Coturnix japonica: one gene and its partners. The protein of the gene in region 1 purifies or fractionates together with the protein of each later gene. This does not show direct contact. Links are inferred from orthologs where the notes say so. Each region holds a gene or a part of one and is shown on either strand. Other genes may lie near its edges.

Evidence for each region.
Region 2: the proteins of CXCR4 (region 1) and ITCH purify together in Homo sapiens (affinity purification with western blotting; 5 studies listed by BioGRID and IntAct, with this or other methods). This does not show direct contact. The link is inferred for Coturnix japonica from reciprocal best matches to the Homo sapiens genes CXCR4 and ITCH.
Region 3: the proteins of CXCR4 (region 1) and TMEM63B purify together in Homo sapiens (co-immunoprecipitation; 3 studies listed by BioGRID and IntAct, with this or other methods). This does not show direct contact. The link is inferred for Coturnix japonica from reciprocal best matches to the Homo sapiens genes CXCR4 and TMEM63B.

Annotation. Positions count from the first base shown.
Region 1 is NC_029522.1:27,930,101-27,934,317, reverse strand, and holds CXCR4 (C-X-C chemokine receptor type 4), read left to right. Parts: upstream 1-1,417; 5' UTR 1,418-1,492; coding exon 1,493-1,519; intron 1,520-2,489; coding exon 2,490-3,551; 3' UTR 3,552-4,082; downstream 4,083-4,217.
Region 2 is NC_029535.1:1,378,488-1,384,713, forward strand, and holds the start of ITCH (E3 ubiquitin-protein ligase Itchy homolog), read right to left. Parts: upstream 3,839-6,226; 5' UTR 3,723-3,838; intron 1-3,722. UniProt on the Homo sapiens protein: Acts as an Acts as an E3 ubiquitin-protein ligase which accepts ubiquitin from an E2 ubiquitin-conjugating enzyme in the form of a thioester and then directly transfers the ubiquitin to targeted substrates.
Region 3 is NC_029518.1:27,288,711-27,294,862, forward strand, and holds the start of TMEM63B (CSC1-like protein 2), read right to left. Parts: upstream 3,800-6,152; 5' UTR 3,682-3,799; intron 1-3,681. UniProt on the Homo sapiens protein: Mechanosensitive cation channel with low conductance and high activation threshold. Osmosensitive cation channel preferentially activated by hypotonic stress.

The DNA of each region.
Region 1 (4,217 bases):
GTTTCTAACAAAATATGAATGACTATCAAATTATGATGCAGTTAAAGTCCTCAATGACATTATGGGTCAGACCTTTTTTTAACAAAAAGAATGATAAGCAGTGTTACTAATCAATCACAAGCATGAGACTACATAAAAAGTTAGAGAGTTGTTAGGGGACTGGTAGGAGAGTAACTCTTGCCAAATACCCAGAAATAATCCTTACATCTAAAGCCTGTAGTTGACTCAGAGCGTGTAAACTGGCAATAGGGGCCTTTAAGAATAAAACTTTAGATGAACTTTCCCTTTATTCATCCCTTGAGACTGCAAGAGTGATCTGAGCATATGCCATTACATTAGGAATGCTCCTCTCCCTTCTCGGCACTCCAAGTCCCAACTACAAAGTGTAAATCTGCATAACTGAATCAATCATTCCCGATATATTTACTCAGGACGATGTGAGTTGTGAAATCGTGGGAAGAAAGAAAACTCCAACTAAAACCAGTGCAATCTTTTCTGAAAATTAGTTTGCTTGCATGAATTACAACAGTACTGAGACCCTAGATGTATCTGTGAAGGGAATTCATTATTGTCTTTTACTGTCCTTTATATTAGTTAGATTTTCCTTGCAAACCTATTTTATGAAAGCTATTTTTACTCTATATGCACAATTGAAGGTTTTTCTCTTATTTTGTCGACTATCCGGCTTGTGAAAAAGGACCATTATGAAAGATGCCCAGCAGCCTTCACTTTTTAAAAAGCAATTTCCCAGCTCTGAGATCAATGAGAAAGATGAGCAGCGTTCTGATGTTAGTGGGCAAATAAAGCACTTAGGCACGCATATCTATAAGTTTAAATGAAGTTGGCAACACCGTTATTTTGACAACGGTTCATTTTCTTCCTGTTTTCTACCAGTTCCTTGTGGGTCCCTTCCAACCCGGGCCGTTCTGTGATTCTATGTGTGACTGTACCGTACCGAGCTTTTGGGACACCGACCCACCGCGTCATTCCGCACACACTGCCGAAGTATCTGCAACTCCGGACGCGAAACTACGTAACCTGGACGAGTTCAGAACAACCTGCATCCCGCAAAAGGATTGCAGAACCCCCCAGCAAGAGCCATCCCTTTGCTCCCTGCCTCTCCCTACGCACTTCAGCAGGGACGAGAAACAGCTCCACGCCGCGTACAACACGTCGAAAGGCGTGCAGGACCTCTCCTCCCCGCCTCTCACGACCCCCGGGCCAGCGCTTCCCCCTGGGTAACAGCTCCGGGTCCCTCCCACGGGACGCCTCGAGGCGGGGGCCGCCGTGCCCGGCGCCGCAGACAAAGGGCGCCCGAGGCGCGGCCAGAGCCGGTCCCGCGGTGCCACCCGGCGGGGCGGAGCCGGGCGGGGCTGCCCCGGGGCGGGGGTGGCGGGGACTATAAAGAGCCGCGTCCCGGGTAGGAGCGGGCTGTGCGCTCGGTGCAGCTCGTGGCGCTTGGGCAGTCCGGATCTAGTCGGTGGCTCAGAGTATGGACAGCAGCATGGACGGCTTGGATGTAAGTGCAGAGGGGAAGCGGGGCGCTAACACTTCATTCACGCTGGCCCGCGTGCGCGCTGTTCGCAATCGGAGTTGCGCCGGGGGCTCGGAGCCGCGTCCCGCCGCCGCTCCGTCCGGGCTGAGCGGGAGACCAGGGAGATGATGCGTCCCACGGAGCGGCGGGGTCTGCAGCCGCCCCCGGAGCCTGCGGGGCGCCCCGGGTGCGTCGGGCCGGGGCTTTGCGGCGTGCGGGGCGTGAGGCTGATGAACTCGCAGCACATGAGGGGTTGCGCGTAGCCAGGTGGCACACGCCCGCCTGCATCGCTTTTCAGCGCGGTGCCCCGAACCGTTGGTGGTTTCCTGATGCGCTTTCATGCCCTCACCAGAATTTCGCTTCCCCTTTCTACCGCCGCTTCAGGGCGGGAACAAAGGGCGGCGGTGAGATGCCCGCTGCCCTCGGGGCTGCCGCTCCCCGGCTCTTGTCCCGTCGCCGAGCTGTCAGTCATTTCTCGGGGGGAATCCTTGATATCATTCTTAATTACATCAGCCGCGGGCATCCTCTCTTTCTCCATGACCCCATTCCCTTAATGAAAAGGAGCCTCGGAGATGCAGAATTACCTAGAGTGATTCTTCTAAGTCTGTGCGTGTCATACATCTGGCTTTGTGAATCTGTAGCACGTATCCCATTAGAGCACTGAAGTCTCCTGAAGGACGGGGGTATTTCTGAAAGTAGGCGTCATCATTCTTTTCTCCCGACCTCAGTTACACGGTCCTACTCCTCAGAGAAACACGGAGGAAGTTTTTCCTTGTCCGGTTTTTGCAGTGTATAGCCAGTGAAATAGAAATTGTATATAAATAGCATTTTTCTGTCTGGGTTTCAAGAAGTTTGTCAGTAGGTGATGGTGAAGACTTGCTGGGACTCTTAGTGTATATAGTGAGCTGTTGTAAAAGAGCCGACATCTAATTTTTTTTTTTACTTATTGTTTTAGCTGTCCTCTGGCATACTCATTGAATTTGCTGACAATGGCTCGGAGGAGATTGGCTCAGCTGACTATGGAGACTATGGAGAGCCGTGCTTTCAGCATGAAAACGCTGATTTCAACCGAATCTTCTTGCCAACTATCTACTCCATCATCTTCCTAACAGGAATAATCGGGAATGGATTGGTTATCATTGTTATGGGCTACCAGAAGAAGCAAAGAAGCATGACTGATAAATACAGGCTTCACCTCTCAGTTGCTGACCTCCTCTTTGTCATCACCTTGCCGTTCTGGTCTGTGGATGCAGCCATAAGCTGGTACTTCGGCAACGTCCTGTGTAAGGCAGTTCATGTCATTTACACAGTCAACCTCTATAGCAGTGTCTTGATTTTGGCTTTCATAAGTTTAGATCGTTACCTGGCAATAGTCCATGCCACCAACAGCCAGCGACCCCGAAAGCTGTTGGCTGAGAAGATCGTGTATGTGGGTGTCTGGCTGCCAGCTGTGCTTCTGACAGTGCCTGACATCATTTTTGCCAGTACGAGTGAAGTAGAAGGACGGTACCTCTGTGATCGCATGTACCCTCATGACAACTGGCTGATTTCTTTCAGATTCCAGCATATCTTGGTAGGACTTGTCTTGCCTGGTCTAATAATCCTGACTTGCTATTGTATTATCATATCTAAGCTGTCACATTCAAAAGGCCACCAGAAGCGCAAAGCCTTGAAGACAACAGTTATCCTCATCCTTACCTTCTTTGCCTGCTGGCTGCCATATTACATTGGCATCAGCATAGACACATTCATCTTGCTTGGAGTCATCAGACATCGCTGCAGCTTGGACACAATCGTGCACAAATGGATCTCTATCACAGAAGCCCTTGCGTTCTTCCATTGCTGCCTCAATCCAATTCTTTACGCCTTCCTGGGTGCCAAATTCAAAACATCAGCACAGAATGCCTTGACATCTGTTAGCAGAGGATCAAGCCTCAAGATTCTTTCAAAAAGCAAACGTGGGGGACATTCTTCTGTTTCTACAGAGTCAGAGTCTTCAAGTTTCCATTCCAGCTAACACTTCCCCTTGCCATCCCTTCATAAACAGACACTTTAAAAGTTGCTCAAGATTTCAGAAAAACAAGACTGACCATAATGTACAGATTTATTTTACCGTTGGAATTTTTTATTGCTTCTTTTAGTCTTTGTGAAGTTTAATTGACTTATTTATATAAAACTTTTGTATTGATAAACTGTCTAGGCAGGTCCTGTGGACAAGTGGTTAGTTCACAAAAGCTCGAGTGTTTGTATAGGTATGTGAACTAAACACCTGGGTTGTAGCAAGTGTGTTAAATGATTAGAAAATATTTCTCTGTTTATATGTAAATGTTTTCAATGTTGTTTAATTCTTAAATATTGGCTGGGTATTTTTGCCTTACTAGATGTTTGGTTTACAATTGCTTAACTGCTGTAGAAATGGCACTTATAACTAAAGCTGCCTCTGTTACATGTTAGGGCTTGTTGTTTTTGTTGGGTTTTTTTCCATTATCAGTAATTGATGGTTGGGCATTTTTTGTTGTTGTTGTTCAAGGTAAATAAAAATATGTGACAAAAAGTTATTTTGAGTGGTATTTTTATTTCTGGTTAAGTGTTTTTTATCAATGCTTATTGTGCATTGAGAATTCAAAGTAAATTCTCTTTGAAAGCTGCATAGCTCCTAAATGAATGAGGGGAAAATGAGTAT
Region 2 (6,226 bases), on another chromosome or scaffold:
CTCGATGAATATTACACTGCAAATCACTTTCCATTTCATAACATAATGAATAAATGAGATGCGGAGTGTAGCTTATGTCTTTAAGTTGTTTTTCTCTATTCAAGGTCTCTTAGACCTGATCTGGTTTTACTTTCTCTTTGTATAAGTTCAAAGATTACCAGGTATCTTAGCTAACGCTGAGAGAAAAAATACACCCAGCCCCTGACAAAAACCTACATCTATAAATAAAAGTAAGCACAGAGAACAAAGATTTTACAGAGCTCAACCACCTTCTCTTAAGAGTCCCAGGTTCTGTATCGTAACCCACCCAGCCTAATACCTGAGATCAGCACAGCTCCAGAAACGATGCCACTTAGCATTCCCCCTTTTCAACAAGAAACAGTGTTTCACACAGCAATACTTCAATGATCCACCTGAAGCAAATAGGCCTCTTCTGCTCAGTGACACCACTATTTAAATCTAAGCTCCGAACTTCAGAATCACAGATCTAAATGCAAACATGTAAGTACTGCTGCTTTGCACTGAAACAATAGGCACCTTCCAGGAGCAGTTTAGAATAGCTCAGGCAGGTGGGCGGAAGGCAGGCGTTATCAGTTCCTAAATGGGAGGACTGGCATAAAATGTTTTTTAAAAGGGAATAGCACACTAACATAGCGCCGGGTTGTACTGTTGGGTTTGGTTCATTTTAAAGGACAAAAGATTTGAATAACCAGCGTAACAACATCTCAGATCGTGTTTCCTCAGAGGGGGGAAAATCCTTGATGTTTATCAGGAAGTTTGTTCTATGTCCCACTATAGTTAAAGCAGAAATTCCAGGCATAACTTAAAAGGGGGCCCTAAGAAACAGGGCCTTGGTTACTTTAAAATGCTCTTTCCCTGTCTGTCGCATTATTTTCATTTCTATAAAGTGTAATTTGCAATTCTGATGAAGAAAAAGATCAATCCCTCAGCTGCACAACTCTGCCCGATGAAGTAAAAGCTGGAAGCCAATCACTTACACAACACTCAGGTCCTTATTGCTATTTTTCTCATACAAAAGGCATGAAGAGAAACTACCATTCCCTCTCCAGAAGGCAGGCATAGAATTAGCTCTGGTGACAGCCATTCCACAGCACAAAAACACAAACAAGCTGATGGCCTAAAATCATTAAAAATACTTAATTTGGGAGGCAGTAAAAAGTAAAATAAGCCAAACAATCCTCCCAAGCAAGACTGTAATCCCGGCTTGTCTGCTTCCTCTTCTGAGGTGAGCCCTCACTTCAAAGCTCACCTACAGCACAACAAAGAACAGTTACTGAAATCGACCCAGGCAAGTGCTCTGCTCCAAGACATACCTGCACATTCACGCTCCTTAGCTGTGAGGGCTCAAAGGAGTTCCTCCACTTACACACAGAATGACAGAAATTAGAACATTAAATGAACACAACTGGACTGCCAAACAGAAAGGCTTAACAACGAGCAGCATCAGTGACAGCGCACCCAGAAGCTCCAGCATTGCGCTCCCCTCCTGCTTTAACCCCACTGACATCTTTTCCTTTATTTTTTAGGACAAACTGTATTGCTTTTGCTGCAATACAGAAAGCATTTTAACAGGGTTGAGTATGTTTACTACTTTGTTTATATATCTCTCGCATTTACAGATGTTTCTGTAGACTCTGTCACTGACTGATACCGATAATGCCATTAAATTATCTAACTCCTGCAGATGCAAACATTTTTTCAGCCTCACTTAACACTGTTTTCAAGCAGCCCTAATGCAAGTTTTCTTAGAAACAATGAGAAACAAAGCCTCCAAGAGAAGCACCTCGCTGCTCTAATACCTGCCCTCCCACCTGCTGCTCAGCTCTGCAGTTCACTCTCACAAGCTGTTTTGAAACGTCCAACCAAAGAAACCAAACAACTCTGTATTTCAGGAAATGGCTCATCACACACACACATAAAACACCCTTAACTTTACAACAGGAACAAAAATAGAGTGAAGAAAACGAGGCGATGTCTGTTAACTTATAAATTCATACGAATAATCTCTCGATCTCTCTTAAGACCCAAAATAACTGTTTAATCTGTAAGAAGCTTTCAAAGTTAGCACTCAGAAGTCTCAGTTATTTTCCACTGCAACGTCACCTCTTACACATACGGCATCAGTTCTTTGTTTTAATACAAGAAAACTCACTCCAGGTTAGAATGCCGCATATTGCTCTGATGATCACTTGGAGGTGAACGTATCCAGAGCAGTGATTAAAGCTGTCAGTCAAACCACAACTAAGAACGCACAGTAGACCAAGTTCGGATTCAAATGGCTGTAGCAAAGAGTAATATAACTGTAATTAAATTAGAACTGCTTTGGACTTTCACTAGAAGAAGAAAGAATTAAAATTTGTTCTTCAAACAAGATGTCTGAAAGGCAATAAAACCCACTGAGCTAATGACAGATTGCAGCCGATGTTTCATTCTTCTTTATGCATAACTTGTTCGGGTCAATTCAAGCAGTAGCTGGACCAACTGCCAGCCAACTGGCTCTCGATACTAATTGTCTTCTCAGGAATCCCAGTTCACATTTCTCCTCCTTCCTCTGCCAAAAGGATGAGGGTAAAGGGGCAGAGATTAAAACAAAGAGCAATGAGGAACACTGAGAAAAAGAATGTTTCACAAAGAGAACTGTTTGTGATCCTTTCTATCCTACCTGAGCTATAAAGATTAACTTCTCTGGGAACATCTTCCGAAGCTTCAAGGGTAAAGAATGCCACGCAAATGACAACAGATGGCCCAACTGCTACACTCGGTTTTCTCTCCCCACATACATAGATGCTAAGCTTGTTTATCAGTTTAACATCACAGATTACACCTATCGCAACAAGCTGAACTCCTGGATTTCAGAGCCAATCTAATAAAGGCGTTCACACCCTCAGACGGCACCTTCCACTCGTGCTTGGTTGTTATTGCCACACAAGGTCACAGACCCCTGTGAGGAAGCAGGAGAGTTAACAGCCAGAACTCGGCCGTGTTTCCAAAATAAAGCGGCGGCAACAGCAAGAGGGAACACACACCTCCAACCACACTCGTGCTGGGAAACGCTGCTTCATGGCACAGCTGTTATCCCACAGGAACAAAGCAAAGAACTCCACACAGCAGCCTCCCCCGGCCGAGACCCCGAGAGACAGACAGGACGGGGCTGAATACAAAGGGAAGGGGCCGTGTTGCGGAACTGCCGCTGAGAAGCAGCGCCTGGGCCGGGAGCGATCCCGGAGCGCCGAAAGGGCCAAGTGACCGGTCCCGGCTCCCGGGAGCCCGGGCAGGATGGCGGAGGCCGAGCGGGGCGGCGACACGCGCTGCCGGGGAACAGCGGGGCCGGGGGATGTGGGCTCGTGCAGGAGCCGTGCAGCCCCACACACAGGCCAGAGGTCCCGGGACCGCCGCCGCAGGCACGGAGCGATACCGCCGGCTGCGGCCGGGCCCCCGGCTCGGCCCGGCGGGGAGGGGACAGCGCGGCGCGCCGAGGCCGCTCGGTGAAGCTCCGTGGGGCCGGAGCCCCTCAGGCGGCCGGGCCTACAACCGCGGGGTCCCCGCGCCCCCCGCCCAGAGCCGAGGAGATCGGCGGAGCCGCAGCGCTGCCCCTGGAGCTCCCATCCCCGCCGCCACCCCCCGCCTCCTCGTCCTCCTCCTCGTCCTCGTCCTCCTCCTCCCTCCTGCCCTGCCCGTGCTGCAGAGCCCGCTCCCCTCACCGCGCACGGCGCCGTTCAGCTCCTCCGTCCCTCGGCCAAGATGGCAGCCGCTCCGACCCAACCCGAGGCAGCGACTTTCCAAAGTCGGGCGCAATCTGCGCACGCGCGGAGTCGCCGGAGCCGCCACGGGGTGGAGGTGACTACAACTCCCAGCGTGCGCCGCGCCATGCTCCGCGCATGCTCAGTGCGCCCCGCGGTGTCGCCCGGCGGGGTGGGTTGTCGGGTGCGCGGCCGAAGTGATCGGCGGGTCACACACAGCGACGGACACAGGGCAGCTCACACAGCACAACTAAGGCAGCATCTCTGCAGGTGAAGCCCAGGCCAGCACGCAGCTCTGGCTGCTTTCCCCAGCAGGACAGCACCCAGCGCCCTGTTTGCATCACATCTGCTAAGGCAGATGTGGATTAATGACATTCAGTATCACTTTTCAGATACACCATGTAAATTCTCTGTTATCAATATTTTTCCTCCATTTGTAACTTGCACTGGGGCTAAAAATGTTTTTTCAGCATCAACAACCCTAATCTCTTTTTCTATTTTCCAGCTTTTGATGCTTCAAGTCAAGTTCCACCAGTGTTACCTGTAACATCCATAAAGAATGCATTCCGGGTGCACACACCACTGATGATTTTCTGCTTCCAGGACAAGATGAATGTTGTGAAATCATCCCATTCAAACTCTTTCAGAATTTTCCCTGTTACAAATCACAGCCTTTATATGAGCTGCTACACCAACACCGAATAATGACTTAACACCAGACTGAGGTAGCAAATGCAGATGAATTTAATTCAGTGGCAGAAGCGACCCCAGCACCTCCTCCACCAAACTGTGTTCCAAGCACTTGCCCCCAGTGTGTCCTGTTGAATTGGGGCTGCTCCCTTCCAGAGGCAGATCTTGGACCATTTATCTTTGTTGAGTTTCTTGAGATTTTATCCACATTCATTTTGGACTTCACTGTGTCGACAACAAAAAGGCAGTCCTGGTACTGAAGGGACCATGGTGACCATGGAAGCAATTCTGATGGTGTGAACAATTACCTGTTCTGGGCTAGACACAGCCCCAAGCAAATATCATACAGTGACTGTTGAGTAGTCATCAGATGTCATCAATTTCGATTAGCTGCTAAGCTACTTTAAATCTTTAATAACGGCTTAACACTTCTGCCTGCCTTAAGGTTTTGTGCAGCTGCTGATTTAGAGGTGTACGAATATTTCATTTTCACAGCATTTTCTTTATGACTGCATTTCAAAGTACTTTGTAAACATCTATAGAGCAAGTCTTCTTAAAAACAAGTCTCCTGGAATTTGTTTTAACTGGATCATTGCTGCAGAGAATGAGTTATAATTTAAGATCAAACTTATTTTGAAATTATCATCTTTAAGAAGAGATTATTTTTCGTGCTGCCTTATAATCAGTTGTTTTCACTTGTGAACATAGACATAGTGTGGTGGTAGAGCGTGCATACTTCTAACCACCTTTAAAATCAGTATTGATTTCTTTGGTTGGGGATTTAGGAAAATATCAGTAGGAAAATATCAATTAATTCCTGCTAACTGAACAAAACCTTCAAGGTTGGCAAGACATTGTTATTACTTCCAAGTAATCTAATTAAAGGGTAAAACAAAGACACTTAATTATTTTATCATTCAATTGATCTCCAGTGCATAATCAGAGAACCAGGAGGAAGTGATTAGCTGTCTTGGGAAAGGAAATGACACAGTCATCCAAAACAGGATGTTTTAAAGGGAGGATAAGATACTGGGAAGATCGTTACTGTCTTCCCACACAGAAAGCTGAATGTGATTTTTTCCTGGGACTGAAGAACATTAAACAACAAATCTGCTGGGGATTTTTTTTGGGAAATGATAGGGAATGCTGATGCTGGGATGTGTGAAACAGAATCATAGAATGAATCATAGAATAGTTTGGGTTGGAAAGGACCCTTAAGGTCACCTCACTCCAACCCCCTGCTATAGGCAGGGACACCTCCCTCTAGACCAGGTTGCTCACAGCCCCATCCAGCCTGGCCTTGAACACCTTGAGATAGGGGGCACCCACAGCCTCACTGGGCAACCTGTGCCAGTGTCTCACAATCCTCACAGTAAAGAATTTCTTCCTGATATCTGGTCTAAATTTGCTCTCTTCCAGCTGAGAGCCATTTTCCCTTGTCCTATCACTACATGCCCTTATAAGAAGGCCCTCCACACCTTTCCTGTAGGCCCCTTCAGGTACTGGAAGGCCACTGTAAGGTCCCCCTGGAACCTTCTGTTCTCCAGGCTGAAGAGCCCTAGCTCTCTCAGCCTGTCCTCTTAGAGCAGGTACTCCAGCTCTCTGATCATTTCCATGGTCCTTCTCTGGATGTGCTCCCACAGCTCCATGTCCTTCTGGTGTTGGGAGCTTACTGGAATTGGATGCAGTACTCCAGGTGGGGTTTCACAAGAGCAGAGCAGAGGGGCAGAATCACCACAACCTACCGTGTGTTCTTTGATTGGAAGCTTTGCCCT
Region 3 (6,152 bases), on another chromosome or scaffold:
TAAACAGTCATCACCTGTTTTTACTTCACTTGTGCTTGGATTCACTTTTTAAAATTAACTCCTCTTAAATCCCTTATCACCCCTGACCTTCTGTTCCAGGTGAAGACAGAGTTCCCACTTAATGTCACCTTTCATTTGCTCTTCTCCACTCAGCCAGTTCTTTGTCCAACAGCACTGATCCTCCCTGCTGCAGCCAGTCTTCACATTGATTTGTGTCCAGCACAAAGTTCCTTCCTCCAGATTCACAACATTGCAACTCACGTCAAGTGAACTGCCTTTCTACACTGAGTAACAATGAACCCCTGGGCAGTTACTGCAGTTTAACAGGCACACAGTAATTTGTTAGCAGGTCTATGCCTCAAGTATAGAGAGGAGCCCAGCCAAACCAAATCACCAGCCTGAACACACAGTCACCCTGGAGAAGATGTCAGCCTCACCAGCAACACCTGAGAGCCTTCAGAGCCCAGTGGTTCACAAAGAGCTGAGGGATGCATCTCTTAAGATCTTCCCTACACCCATGGCACTAGATTTATTACCAAGTCAGAAGCAAATACCCTCCACAGCCCTGCAGTACTACAAGGCTCTGCTTGACCTTCAAGCAGGAGATACCAGATGATGATGACTACCTCAAGCATGAGGTGAGACCTGCAGCCATCTATGTTTCCACAAAGTAACAGACAGTACTAAGATTGTCTCATTCTCTGGCTTTGAAGGGACCAGGAACAGAGCCTACTAACAGCCCCTATTTAATTTATGAAAGCACCAAGTAAAAGCTAGAACTCCACTGGCTGCCACCCAGAGCTGAGGTCTGCAAGGAATTTAGCAGGAGCACCTCCAGAGGAAGGAGCAGAAGCACACATCAGAATAGGACAAGAAAAACAAGGCAGTGAAAGCTCACAGTGCCTTCTCCAGGCATGGATAAAGAGGGACTCTTTGGTGGCTGCTGGGTTTTAGATGCTGAGGAATCACCTGCAGAAGACAGCAAGTATAGTCAGACATGAGCCCTGCCTGCAGCCATTGCCTCCTAGTGCTGATAGGACACCTTAGCTTGGGAGATGTTGAGAGCTCTGACAGGAGGATCCCCACCTTGCCAGCACCAAGCCTCTACAAACCCGGCCCTGAGAGAGCACTAGTATCCTGTGGAGGCAGAGCAGGGAGATGGGCAGGCAAACAGCACTGACATGGGATGCCCTGTCCCTGAAGGTGTTCAGGGCTAGGTTGGACTGGGCCCTTAGCAGTCTGTTCTAGTATTAGATATGGAGACTGGTGACCCTGCCTACAGCAGGGGGGTTGGAGCTTGATGATCCTCAAGGTCCCTTGCAACCCAAGCCTTTCTATGATTCTACGACATGCAGGAGCAGCAGGGAGAATGGAAGCATTTGCAGCACTGTTGAGCTATCGCATTCACTTAGAGAGAGCCTAGCAAAAAGGAGCAAACGCTGCAGAGACGCACAGAGGAAATCATTCACATCTCACCATTTGTAAGGGAGCTTCTGCCTGCTGCAGCTGATCTGTATCTGGAGCAGAGGGCAGACGCCCAGCTCCAGGCCGGGAGAGCAGAGCAAGGAGGCAGTGCCAACCACAGGCCTGCAGCCTGACAGAAAAGCCATTTCACACTGCAAGCCTCTGCTTCACAGGCCTGGCACCAGCAACACGAATCTTGCCCTCTCTCTCTTGCACTGTGTGTACTCACACATAAGAAAATAATTCCTGGATTTTTATTCACTCGTATTTATCAGGAATCCATCCATCACAGAGCACAAGGTACCAGGGCTACCCCAGCCAGCAAGCAAACCTACAGGCCCGGGGCTGCACCAACAGCACCAGGGGTCCCCACTGGAGCTCACAATGTGCCAGCACAAAAAAGAACGATGAAAACTGCTGCTTGCAGTGGCTGCAGCCAACACACTGCCCAGGGATGAACACAGAACCATGCCTGCAGACAAGCACTTGCTTTCTGCCCTCCCAGCTCCAGCAAGGCCCCGGGGGAGCTGGGAGGAGCGGGAGGCACTGCTCTGACACCAGACAAAGGGCCTTCCTCTGAGTCACGCAGCATCCCCACGGACACAGCCCAGCCGCTCCCTTCCCTGCTCCCTTCTCTGCCGCCTCCGCCATCCAGCCAGACCCGGCACCGCGTGGTCGGGTTGGGGCAAGGCACCTCCGTGTCCCTTCCAGGGCTGGGCTGTTGAAGGGCAGCACAACACCCGGTGCCATGGGGAAAGGCTACTCCGGCTTTGGTTGCCATAGGGATGGAGATGCAGCCCAGCACAGGAAGGAAACGTAGACTCACCCGAGGGCAGGTGCCGATGGGAGGAGAGAGGGGCTTTGGGCCCGAAAGGGATGTGTGGCCCCTCTCCTTTGCTCCCACCCCCTGGAAAGCAGCTGTTAATTAAAGAAGGCCTTAACAGACCTGGAAACGATCACGTTCTCCAAATATCCCCATTCTCACACTTCATCTCTGCACTAAAAAAGCCCCGGGGAAGCTGCAGTCCCCAGCGAGCCTCACCATCATCCCTGCCTCCATCACCAGAGCACAGCACCCGCTGATGCTTTGATATGCAAATCCGCCATCGGATCCCTACACCGTGCTGCCTGCAGGCAGCACAGCACCCCACACAGGGGCCTCCTTTGGCCAAGAGCAGAACCAGCCCCTCATAAACCCCATCGCAAGCACGGGCACTAATGGAAGGGATGCACACCGAGATCAAAACCACTATGCCAAAGGTGCAGCAGGCAGCGTGGGCAGCTGGCAGGGCCCCACTTGGTGCCCTTGGCTCACTGAAAGCACAACTAGAAGACAGGAAAGACGGGCTGATGGTGCACAGGCTTCTGCTGCAGGTCTCACACTCACCGAGATGTTCTTCACACCCTTGTTCTTAGAAAGAAACATGTCTTATTTTACTGCATACACATTTATCAGAAGAAAGCACGTTCCCAGCCCATTTTCTTGCTTCATGACTGAGGATACCGTGAAAGCCCAAGGAAGGAGACAACAGCAGCACACAGCCCAGCACCTTCCTTTGGCTGCCTCAACCTCTGACCCCGAGATGCTTCAGGACAGTGACACCGTGCTCTGGTCAAAGGAGAAGAAACCGGAGCATTGCAAGGCTCAGAGCAACGCTCCCGAGAGGAAAACCGACACCCTCCGAACACACAGCAGCCTCAGTTCCTCCCAAGGTTACGGAACGGATGGAAATAGAGCGAACCTGGGGCAACCAAGCACAGCCCTGAGCACAAGCAGGGCCCGTTCCCAGCCCCATCTCCCTCACGCTGCTTCCACGCCCAGCTGAGGGCTGTAGGTGGGCCCATAAGGACCGCAAAAGAGCCCGGCACGAAAAGGGCCCTCCCAGGCGAACACCAGCTAATCGCAGTCAATAGGATCCACGTCCTTAGAGCACGGCTATTATCTCTGACGGGCACAGAGCCCTCCCGCAGTGGGTACACGGGGGGCTATAAGGGGGTGCGGCCGCAGCCCGTGCCCGCGGAGCTTTGTCCCACGTACGGGCGGGGCACACGCAGGGCCGTCCCGAAGGCACCGCAGCCGCCGTGGGCTTCTCCCCGCTCCAAGATGGCAGCCCCCCGCCCCAGCCGGCCTCGCCGCCCTCCTTCCTTCCCTCCCCCCTTCCCCGAGCCGTTCCCGACAGCGTCACCGCCCCCAGCCCGCGATGCCGCACCGCTTACCCGGCGTCAGGCGCGGACGGGCTCCCGAATCGCTGCCGCTTTGTGCCGCCCCGCCGGGCGCTGCGGTTCGGCACGGAACGATCGGCTCGGCTCGGAGCGGGGCGCGGCCTCGGCTGGGCGTAGCTTCGGCACCGCACCGCGCTGGGCGGGGCGTGCGGGCGGCGCGCCGTGCATGCGTAGTGCCGGCTGGAGGAGGGCCGCGGGGTCTGAGGTGTGCGCCGGGAGTGGGGGGGTCGGTGGGCTCCGGGGGACGTGGGGTGCGGTGGGATGGGTGGGGGCAGTGGGTGGTGGGCGTGCGGGAGCAGCTGCTCTGTGCCTGTCGGTGCTGGAGGTCGCTGATCCTTAGGCCTTATGTGCGGGCCTGGCTGCGGCCTGCTGCGGATGCCGCCTTTGCTGACCCTCGTGAGCCTGGGAGGGGGGCAATACAGGGGCTGCATTAGGCTCCTATGGCTATGAGTAGTCACACGGAGCGGTGGGAGCGGGATTCCTGTGCCCTGACAGCTGCACCATGGGCCAGGTAGTGCGGCGTGGCGTGGGGGATAGGGAAGTTGTGTGTGTGTGTGTGTGTGCGGGCTGGGATCTGCTGCTCACCCACCAATACGTTCCTTTGGAGCAGTTCCCTTCAGTTTGAAGGGAGCCACTATCGTTCATCGCAGCTGCCCTAGGTCAGTGCTTCCTGATTTCTTTGATGGCTTTTTTTAATGGTTGAGCCGCTGCACTCCACCTTCTCCTTGCTTGGCTCCTCTTCCCTGCTGCATCACTTCAGTGCTTTCTGGTTGGTGATCACACCTTGTTGGTTGGGACTTGGTCACCCAGGTTAGGGCTGCAAACAGGATGTGGGCTTGTGGCTTGATGTCTGTGGGCCTGTTCTGAGACCTCAGTGCTTTTAGAAGTAGTAGAGATGCAACCAAAAGGAGATAGTAGCAGTGAGTTATAGGACTGCAAGTTGTCCTTTCAATTTATACGTGACTCCAAAAGACCCTAACAAGGCAAGGTTTTGACTTCATCCCCACAGACCACATCAGTGCTGCTGGGACCCTCCTTTGACCTTAGGAAATTCTTTTTGGCTTAATTTCCTGATGGTTGCCCAAGGAGGTTGTGGATGCCCCATCCCTGGAGGCATTCAAGGCCAGGCTGGATGTGGCTCTGGGCAGCCTGGACTGGTTGGTTGGTGACCCTGCACATAGCACAGGGGTTGAAACTACATGATCACCGTGGTCCTTTTCAACCCAGGCCATTCTGTGATACACCAGGAACAATCCATTGTTGCTTTAGTACAGCACTGTGAATATGCACATATGTAATGGATTAGTGTGCTTGGATACTGGAACAGATGTAAGTACCTTATAGCTGGGACTTCTGGATGTTTAAGATAACTAAAGTAAGTTTTCCATTAAAGGTATTGAGCTCTTCTTATCTGCTTTTCCTGATGGCGCGAATGAGGTTAATGTGTTTCACTGGAGAGCTGTTAGCAGATGTACCTGCAGTGAGTTGCTGTTGGTAACTCGGATCAATAAATATCCTGTTTATTAATAGCTAATCCTATTCATAAATGGAATTCATGAAGACTTAATTCCTCTTTGTGAATTTGGCCTTTCTGCCTGTCATTAGTGCAAAACCAATTATGGCTTGGTAATGGGTATCTTGTGTATTTTTAACCCACCCGAGCCCTTAATCACATTGTTTCCTCTACAAGGATGGCCACGAATGGGTCGACCCTACAACTTTCTGCTGCTTCTTGCAGTGCACCCTGGCAGAAGTTAAATAAATAAACCCACAGTACCTGAGTAGGGGTTTAGGTATTTGCATTACACATATTGTCTTGGATTTATTTCTAACAAGACTCCTTTGTTAGTACTGTGTGTCCTGACATGGGTTTAAAGCATGTAATTCTGCCTTCTTTATCTGGAGGATGTCCTTGCTTCATATCAGCCCCCTGGGGTGGTTTACTTGTGTGTCTGCATGTGTTTTATGCAACGTATATGTCGCCCGCTTCTGTTATCTGGGATGGAATGTTCCAGGATTCCTCCATTCAAAAAGCACTCTAACCTGTTGTAAATACAAATCACTTCTTTATTCTTCTGGGGAAGCGGTGAAGGTAGTAGCTTTAATATGGCACTTGAAAATGGCGCGGTGGGTAAATAACTACCAGGGGCGTGAAACTGGTGAAGAGTCCCTTTGTGGTTTGGTTTTTGAACTTGATGTCAGTCTCGTTGCGCTGGATGTGGTAATGCTGAAGGGTCCTTGAGATGAGAAGGGAGTGTTTGCCGTAACAGGTTATTGCGTGTTCAGACTGACTCAGTGAAGTAGAAATTGGGTCACCCCAGTGAGTATTTGATTCGCAGACTTCTCCCACTCTGCAGAATCTGAACTCAAGTCTGAAACCTGTGTGAATTTTTAACTGGTTTGTGGAGCAGGATGAAGCCAAGTGCCTCGAAGATTTCAAGAAGTTGAGTCTTTCCAGCCATGAG